Rattus norvegicus: one gene and its partner. The protein of the gene in region 2 interacts with the protein of the main gene of each other region in a biochemical or structural test. Links are inferred from orthologs where the notes say so. Each region holds a gene or a part of one and is shown on either strand. Other genes may lie near its edges.

Region 1 (3,645 bases), on a different chromosome or scaffold from region 2:
GATCTTCATGAATTGCTCAATTGTGGCCTTTATTTTCCTATCAAGTCTGCAGAGAGCCTCCGCTTGTAATTCCTTAGCCAGAAAACCCTGAGAAGGAATAAGGCACTATTGCAAGTGTTTGGGACTCCTGGGAAACCATGCCAATAGACAGGTGAAGCAACCAGAGTTCACCTCCGACCTAAGAAGCCAGGCTGAATCTCAGACCTTCTTCCCTTGGGAAAACTAGAAATGCTAGCCTTGGCCAGTCTAAGAATCCTACCGGGGTGCAAACTGCTCTTTTTCATGCAGTCCACTGGGGCTCTGAATGCCTCCTGAGGAACTACGGTGCAGCCTTCAACATGAGTGCATACATGCACATACGGAGCAGACATTAAGAGAATAGACTGGAATGCTGGGCATGGGGCATCGAAGGTTGGCACGAGGTGTCTGTCAAACACTGTGTGGTGGTTTGAATAAAAATGACCCCCATATATTTGGATGCTCAGACATTAGGCTTAGTCATTAGTGCTACTTGACAAGAATCAGGAGGTGTAGCCTTGTGGGAGGGAGTGTGTCACTGGTGGTTGCCTTTGTGGTTTCAAAAGCTCAAGCCAGGCCCAGTCTCTCTCTCTAACTGCTGCCCGTGGATTGAAATGTAGAGCTCTCAGCTACCTCTCCAGCAACACGTCTGCTTGCATGACACCATGCCTCCTGACATGATGACAACAGACGAGACCTCTGCACTGTAAGCCAGCCCCAGTCAAATGCTTTCTTCTTTTAAGAGTTGCTGTGGCCGTGGTGTCTCTTTACAGCAATAGGACACTGACTAAGACTCTGTCTAATTTTTGTTGAGACAGAATCTTTTACTGAATCTGGAACTTGCCCAATTTGGCTAGACTGCTTGGGCAGTGAGTGGCAGGGATCCAATCCTCCGGTCTTTGCCTCCCAGCACTGGGATTATACAGTGTGCCATCAGTCCAATTTCTACATTCTACATGATGCTGGGACTCTGAACATACCCCCAGCTTTGGCTTAAGAGCTTAAGCGAGTTACTTAATCTTGTCATGTCTCACTGTTCTCGGAGATGAGGGAGCACAGGTAGACAGATAACAGAGAATGACACTGTTGTTTTAGCTTTGCTTTGAGACAGGATCTCATGTAGTATAAGCCAGTCTCCAACTCACCGCATTGTCAATGCTGCCCTTGAACTCCTGATCCCCATCTCTCCATCTGAGGAGAGCTGGGATACAGGTGTGCAAAACCACACCTGGTTCAAGCAGCACTTATTGTCATTACCCGTCCTCTGTTCATTCGCATCTCTTTGCCTAATGCTCTGTTAGCTGGCAGCAGAGTAGAAAGGCAGGAATTTCTGAAGATGGCTATCGAACCGGAGTGACAAATGCATATTTGACAACACACAGCAAGAAGTTCAAACATTACTCAGAAATCCAAACTCAATTCTATCCAAAACAATCACAACTACTCAAAAAACACTTGTGTCCAAGGGCACGCAAAGCAGCAGCACATGTAAGGGAAAAAATTAGGTAAAACAGAGAACAGAGACTAGGTTAAGTAAATCATGATGTATTCACATGCAGTAAAATATGGCTATTTTCAACGACAGAGGAAAATGTTAATTTTTCATCAGTAAAAGAATAATTTACCAACTGTACAACATATTAAATAGGATGAGAAATACTTTTCAGAGTAATGGCATCTCTGGGTGACACGTTCATACCTGCACACAAGAAGCACAGTGAGAGCACAGTTTAGGGGTGAAAGGCCTCGGTTTGAATCTATCTATATACACATTTAAAACGTTTGCGCAAGCCTCCCACATTAACTTCAGAATTTAAACCCCAAACTGGTCTGGAGAGACAGTTCGGTGATTAGGAATGTGAGCTGCTCTACCTGCTTACCTGAGTTCTGATCGCAGCATCCACACAGAGGCTCACAACCTCAGATAACTCCGGCTCTGGGGGAATCTGAGATCTCTGGTGGCCCTGGCCATCAGCGACACATGCACATACTCCCACACAGACTCAGACGCAGACACACACATAATACATAATAAAAATGAAGTAAGCTGGTTTTTAAAAAGCCAGCCAGGCAACAATACCATAGCGCTCTATCCCTAGACTAGGGAAGTCACCTGCTGGATGTCAGAAAGCTCTTTATTCAACTCTTCCAGGTGGTTAGCTGTCTTCTCCACAGATACCTCCAAGTCCTTCAGCTTTTTCAACTCAGCCTCTTCTTCTGGATTGCTCTAACACAAAGGATAAAATTCGGTCGGTAATTGCTCACCTAAAAAGACTGAGTCAACCTCTCGTGCTTCTTGCTTGGAAAGCATGTCAAAGGGTTAGACACCACGATTCCTATCTGTAAAGCCGAGCGTCAAGAAGGAAGGCGGGGCTGGGGATTTAGCTCAGTGGTAGAGCGCTTGCCTAGGAAGCGCAAGGCCCTGGGTTCGGTCCCCAGCTCCAGAAAAAAAAGAACCAAAAAAAAAAAAAAAAAGAAGGAAGGAAGGTGTCAAGCGAACATCGTAGTGAGAATCCTGAGGACGTATGCTCAGAGAATGGAGCCAATCCAAGTGTCAGGTTCAGCCTCAGCCCTGTGCTGACCCCAACCCCAACAGCTAGGTCAGAATGTAAGCACGGACTACAGAGAACTCACTGCTCTTCCAGAGGATCTGGGTCCAGTTTTTGGCACCCACACAGAGGCTTACAATCTTTTGTAACTTCAGTTCAAGCATATCCTACCCTTCTTATGGCCACCACGGGCATCAATCAGGCAAGCCCATAGTGCAGTCACACAGATGCAGGCAAAATACTAGAATACACGAAATAGGATAAATACATCTTTAACACAGTAGAGTGTAAGTAAGTTCAAGAGAATACCGCTAAGGTGTCCAGAATGGGAAGACAGAATTCAACTCGTCCTTTGTTTTGTCTTGAGACAAGATCCCACTACCTAGTCTCATTCTTCCTACCTCAGCTTCCTAAATGTTGAGATTACAGTGTGCTTCCATGCCCAGCAGTATGACATTTTTTTTTCCCAAACAGTGCAGGGTGGCCTCAAGAATACTGTGTAATGGGAGGACGACCTTGAATTCCTGACCCAACTGCCTCTACCTTCCCTATGGTAGAGCTACAGCCAGGTGCCACCAGGTTTGGCTCACGACTATCTTCTTTTAAATGTAAATGTCACCCTTCAGTTGGATTCTCCTATTTAACACGATAGTAACAGTGACAACATTTTTCCTGAATGCTCTTGGTATGCCAGGTACTGTGCTTAAAATGTTACCTCTGCTACTTGGTTTTTAAGCTTTACCATAACCCTAAGAGGCAGGAACTGTTTCATAGATGACACTGGGCCTTAATGTAGTAAAGTGACCTAAGGTCCCAATGCCCAATCAGGGGAATGGACTAGAACTCAGCTGTGGACTCCCTGACCCTAACCAGTTCCAACAGAAACTACCACAGCACACCAAACCGAGACCATGGGTACTGCCTTCTGCCCGTATTGTTTGCCTGACCCTTCAGCAAACATTTACAACATTATTCTTTCTCTCGCCGGCAGCTAGGGCCAGCAGCTTCCTGCTTTGTTATGCTCCCCGAAACTCTCCATTCTTGTTTGTGGCCTAATCCCAAGCCCAGCCTCCGGGAG
Region 2 (4,242 bases):
TAGTGAATTCCAGGTCATCCAAGGACTAAACAGGGAGATCCAGCCAACAGAAGAAAAAAAGAAAGAAAAGAAAGAAAGAAAAACAGAACCCAACATTTCTGATTTTTCAAGAGTGGGAGACCCTGATTTTTTATGGTCTAGTTTCAACTTTAGAAAAATAAAACAACATTTTAAGTTGAAGCCTGATTTGTATGGTTTCATAAACCCTCTCACTGTTATATTTGTTCACTGTCTTTCAGAGACAATATTTAAATTCTGATCTGCAAGTCAACATTGGGGCATGTTGCTAACGGGCAAGCCAAAGCATTCTCTCATGGTTTTAGGTAGCAGGTAGGTAAAGAAGTTTTGTCTGAATTTTAATATTAAATAATCAAACATTCACTAATAGACTTTCTAAAAGAGCAATTTGAAGTTAGTCATTGTATTTCCATTAAAAATACTTAGTGCTTCTGCAAATATCAAATTAACTTCCTAAAACTGTCAAGTAGTTTAATCATCAGAGAAAATTGACTTGAAGCCAAAACCAAGTGGGTTCAGAGCAGCTGTAATGCAGTGTCATTCTTAATTTTTGGATACTTTTTGTCATAAGTGAAAGGTTCTCAGTCTTTTTACTACTGGGCCAAATCCCTTAAAATGCATTCAAAAGCCTTTCAGTCAAGCCTCTACTTCACAGGCATACAAGATCCTTTCAACTACTGACAAGACCTTAACAAAGCTGCCTGATCCCACTTCAGGGCACAATCCCAGCCTTGCAGACCTGAAGATAAGCCTTCGAACAGAAACATCAGCAGGTTTATTTTTCCAAGTATCCAGTCTCAGCTAGGTCAAATGTTGCTGCTGGATTTTAAACAGCTTACTTAGCCCTTGAAGTGATAAGAGTAAAAACAAATCAAAAGAACCTCAGTGTTTTTCAGTGGTTCACAATACCAAAGATTTGGAAACTGCCCCTGATGTCTCTTCACTTCTAAATAGCCACTTCAGCATAAGCCTTAATCAAATTAGCTATTTTATTAGAATAACAAAATAAAATGTTCATGGGGCTGGAGACTTAACAAAGCTGCAACCTGGGAACTCAGTCTAAAGAAAAGTCTACTACATAAATAGGATTCATTAAAAAATACTTTCATGCTACACTTTTCCAGGTGTTTTCTATAATCTGCCGAATTCTATACGTTTGGGGAACGTGTTTTTACGTGGTCAGCAGCGATTTAAAACTCAGGAGTTAGTAAAGAATATGTTTATGACCTCAGTATTTTTGAAGGCAGGTATAACCTTAGAAAAAGCTGCAAGAGTATCTCTGAAGAGGAACCAGTGAAAAAGCACTAAACATTTCCTATCAATTACCAAAACTGGTTAGCTAGACTTAACAAGGTAAATCTTGTTCACTACCATAGCGGGAGGGGAGCAAAGCAGCAACCCGCAAGAACTAAAAATTCACAACATGAAGTTAATTAACAAACGAACTAGTTCACTATCCATCACACAGACCCTTCGCAACTATCAATTTTCCTCTTAGACCCTGCCGTCCGCCTACCTGCACCCCATATTTACTAACTGCTCCCCAAAATCATCCTAACTCCCGCAGGCTACGCCCCTGTGCCTTGGTGCCAGCTGTTTGTTCCCCCGCTGACAATGTCCTCCCCGCTACCTCACCTAGCGAACAGTCCTTCCAAACTCCGCGCAGAAGCAAGCAAGGAACCTCTGGGTTTCTCTATTCTGCACCTAACTGTTCTAAATCCCAAGAACACTTGGGAAAACAAGCCTTATCACCGCGCATTGTTTTCACGCCCCGGGAGCTAAGTCTCCACAGACCCCACAGGACGCAATGCAGGCATCCATACGTGCCCTGAATTCATTCCCCACTTCTATACACAGACCTGCCCCATTCCCCAAGACCCGGTCACGTCTCAACCCGGAAAGAAGAGATCCGACTGTCCCTCCAAACAAAGAATGAAAACCAGAGGCACACCCTGGGCCCTAAAGAGAGAACAATGAATGAACACGGCCACCTCGCCTCCCGTGGTGTCCCAACTCTGCATCCTTCACTGGCTCTGCAGAGCCTAGGAGGCTGTCGCTTCACACAAAAGGCAGTCCAGCTCCCAATCTCGAGCATCCCCGGCCTCCCATTTGGAAGCTCCGGGCGAGGTCCCACGTCTTTGTGACGGGGCACTGACCCGTTTCTCGCTGCCGTCCCTGATTCTTCTCGTCTTCCCTAAAAGGGTGTCACTTAAGCGAAGCAGCCCGAGAGGAGGTGCAAGGCCGGGCTCCCCCCACTTCTGCGGCCCGAGAGAAAAAGAATGAGCCCATCCCAGTGACAACCCAGACACTGGGCAGCTCTAGGAGGATTTTTTTTCCCCATTGCCAAAATATGAGGAATGCTCGCTGGGCACCGGAGTGGCGCTGGCACATTTCCGAGAAACACTGGGAAATCTGAGCAGGGGTGTGGAAACTGGCTCGCCGGCCATGACACCCAGCCCTCGCCCGACCCGCCACCAGGATGACAGCGGCCTGGCGGACCCTGCGCCCCGCGGCCGCACCGTCAGCCCTGCGGCCTACCTGAGGGAGCCGGGCAGCACCGGGTCCCGTAGTGCAGCGACAGCGGTGGTTGAGAGAACGGGTTGCGGTTACATTCGGCGTGTCCCCAGCCCGGGGGACGGGGCCCCAGGAAGGCCCCGCATCGCTGCACTAGCGCCCCGCGCCTCAGGGCACGCGCCCCAAAGCTCGGCCAGCTGGCCCGTCTGAGGGCCTGCGGAGAACGGCAGAGAAGCCTTCCTGCTTCAAGCTCGCTCCGTTCTAACTCCCGCCATCTAAGATGGCGGAACAAGCACCCGCGATGAAGACGCTCTCAGGCTGCGGCGGCGAGCTAGCCCTGCGCTCGACACTCGTCTTGGCGACCTGCGGCGCCGCGGACTCACTGCCTCTGCGCGAGCTCCTGAGCTCGGCTGTCCGCTTAAAACTTGGCTCGGGGATCTATCGCTCGGGCCTGGAATCTGGCCCCGCCTCTGGAGGCGTGGCCCTCGCGGTACTGTGGCCGCCATTTCGGGGCTCAACCTGTGGAGGTACAGTGACTGCTTCTGGTCGGAGGCCAGCGGCAGTGGGCTGCAGCCTCGGTCCGGCCACCCGCGAGGCCCTCCGAGGACCAGACGCGCCAGATGACACACAGCCCAGGGCCCAGCTTTGGTGCTTCCTTCCGAAGTTGACATCCATGGAGAATGGCGGCTTACGGGTTTTGCGGGAAAGCTCTCATACTATATTAAACCTCAGGTTCCACATTTGTATTGCAGATCGAGGGTTCACTGTAGTACACCAGATTGACCAAAAACTAAAAGTATGGTGTTGCACACCTGTAATCCCAGCGCTTGGAAAGTAAAGGCAAGAGGATCAGGAGTTCACAGCCATGCTGAGCTGCATGAGACCCTGTAATACCCAATTTAATAAAGATGGAGAAAAAAATAAAATTGATGCGCCAATATGGCCCACGGAAAACTGAAGCCTGTTGTGAGCCTTCGTACAACCCCAGTGGAATAGACACCTAAAGGACAATGTGACATTGTCAACGTGCTTTTTTTTTTTTTAATCCCTCTTTGAAATAGGTTCTCAATTTTTTTTATCTCTTTGTTTATTTGTGGTTTTTCGAGACAGGGTTTCTTTGTTTAACAGCCCTGTCTGTCCTGGAACTCACTTTGTAAACCAGGCTGACCTCGAACCCAAAGAGATTGGTCTGTTTCTGCCTCCTGAGTGCTGGAATTAAAGATATGTGCCAGATTCCCTCTTAATTGGAGGTTGACCTCAGACTCCCATTCTACCTCTGTGTATTTTCAAAGTAGCCATTTGGTATCTGCAAGGTGACTCAGTAAAAAGTTTGCAGAGTAAAACCTGGTGGTGCCATGATGGAAGAGAGAACAGACTCCTGAAAGTCATCCTCTGACCTTGATTCGAACCCAGTGCTACGTGCTCAACCTGCAAACCGCATTTACAAATACACATACAAGTTTTTTAAGTAACCATTTATAAGTAAACATCTCTTGACATTTAGTACATTTACAGTGTTGTGTAACCACAGCTTTAGTTCCAAAACATTTCCATTACTCTGAAATAAAATTACCTACCAAGCAGTTTCTCACTAGCTTCCTACCCCCAGCAACCGCGAATACTAATTTTGCTACTACAGACTTCTAGATTATCTTGTATGTGTGGATACTTATAAGGTATGGGTTCTTTTATGATTTAAGTCTTTCCACT

The links. The genes of interacting proteins can lie anywhere in the genome.
Region 1: the proteins of Raf1 (region 2) and Bag1 form a complex in vitro, tested with the Homo sapiens proteins (2 studies listed by BioGRID). The link is inferred for Rattus norvegicus from reciprocal best matches to the Homo sapiens genes RAF1 and BAG1.

The regions. Positions count from the first base shown.
Region 1 is NC_086023.1:60,866,956-60,870,600, forward strand, and holds part of Bag1 (BAG family molecular chaperone regulator 1), read right to left. Parts: intron 2,246-3,645; coding exon 2,132-2,245; intron 88-2,131; coding exon 1-87. UniProt on the Homo sapiens protein: Co-chaperone for HSP70 and HSC70 chaperone proteins. Acts as a nucleotide-exchange factor (NEF) promoting the release of ADP from the HSP70 and HSC70 proteins thereby triggering client/substrate protein release.
Region 2 is NC_086022.1:150,409,988-150,414,229, forward strand, and holds the start of Raf1 (RAF proto-oncogene serine/threonine-protein kinase), read right to left. Parts: upstream 2,827-4,242; 5' UTR 2,557-2,826; intron 2,313-2,556; exon of another isoform or gene 2,010-2,312; intron 1-2,009. UniProt on the Homo sapiens protein: Serine/threonine-protein kinase that acts as a regulatory link between the membrane-associated Ras GTPases and the MAPK/ERK cascade, and this critical regulatory link functions as a switch determining cell fate decisions including proliferation, differentiation, apoptosis, survival and oncogenic transformation.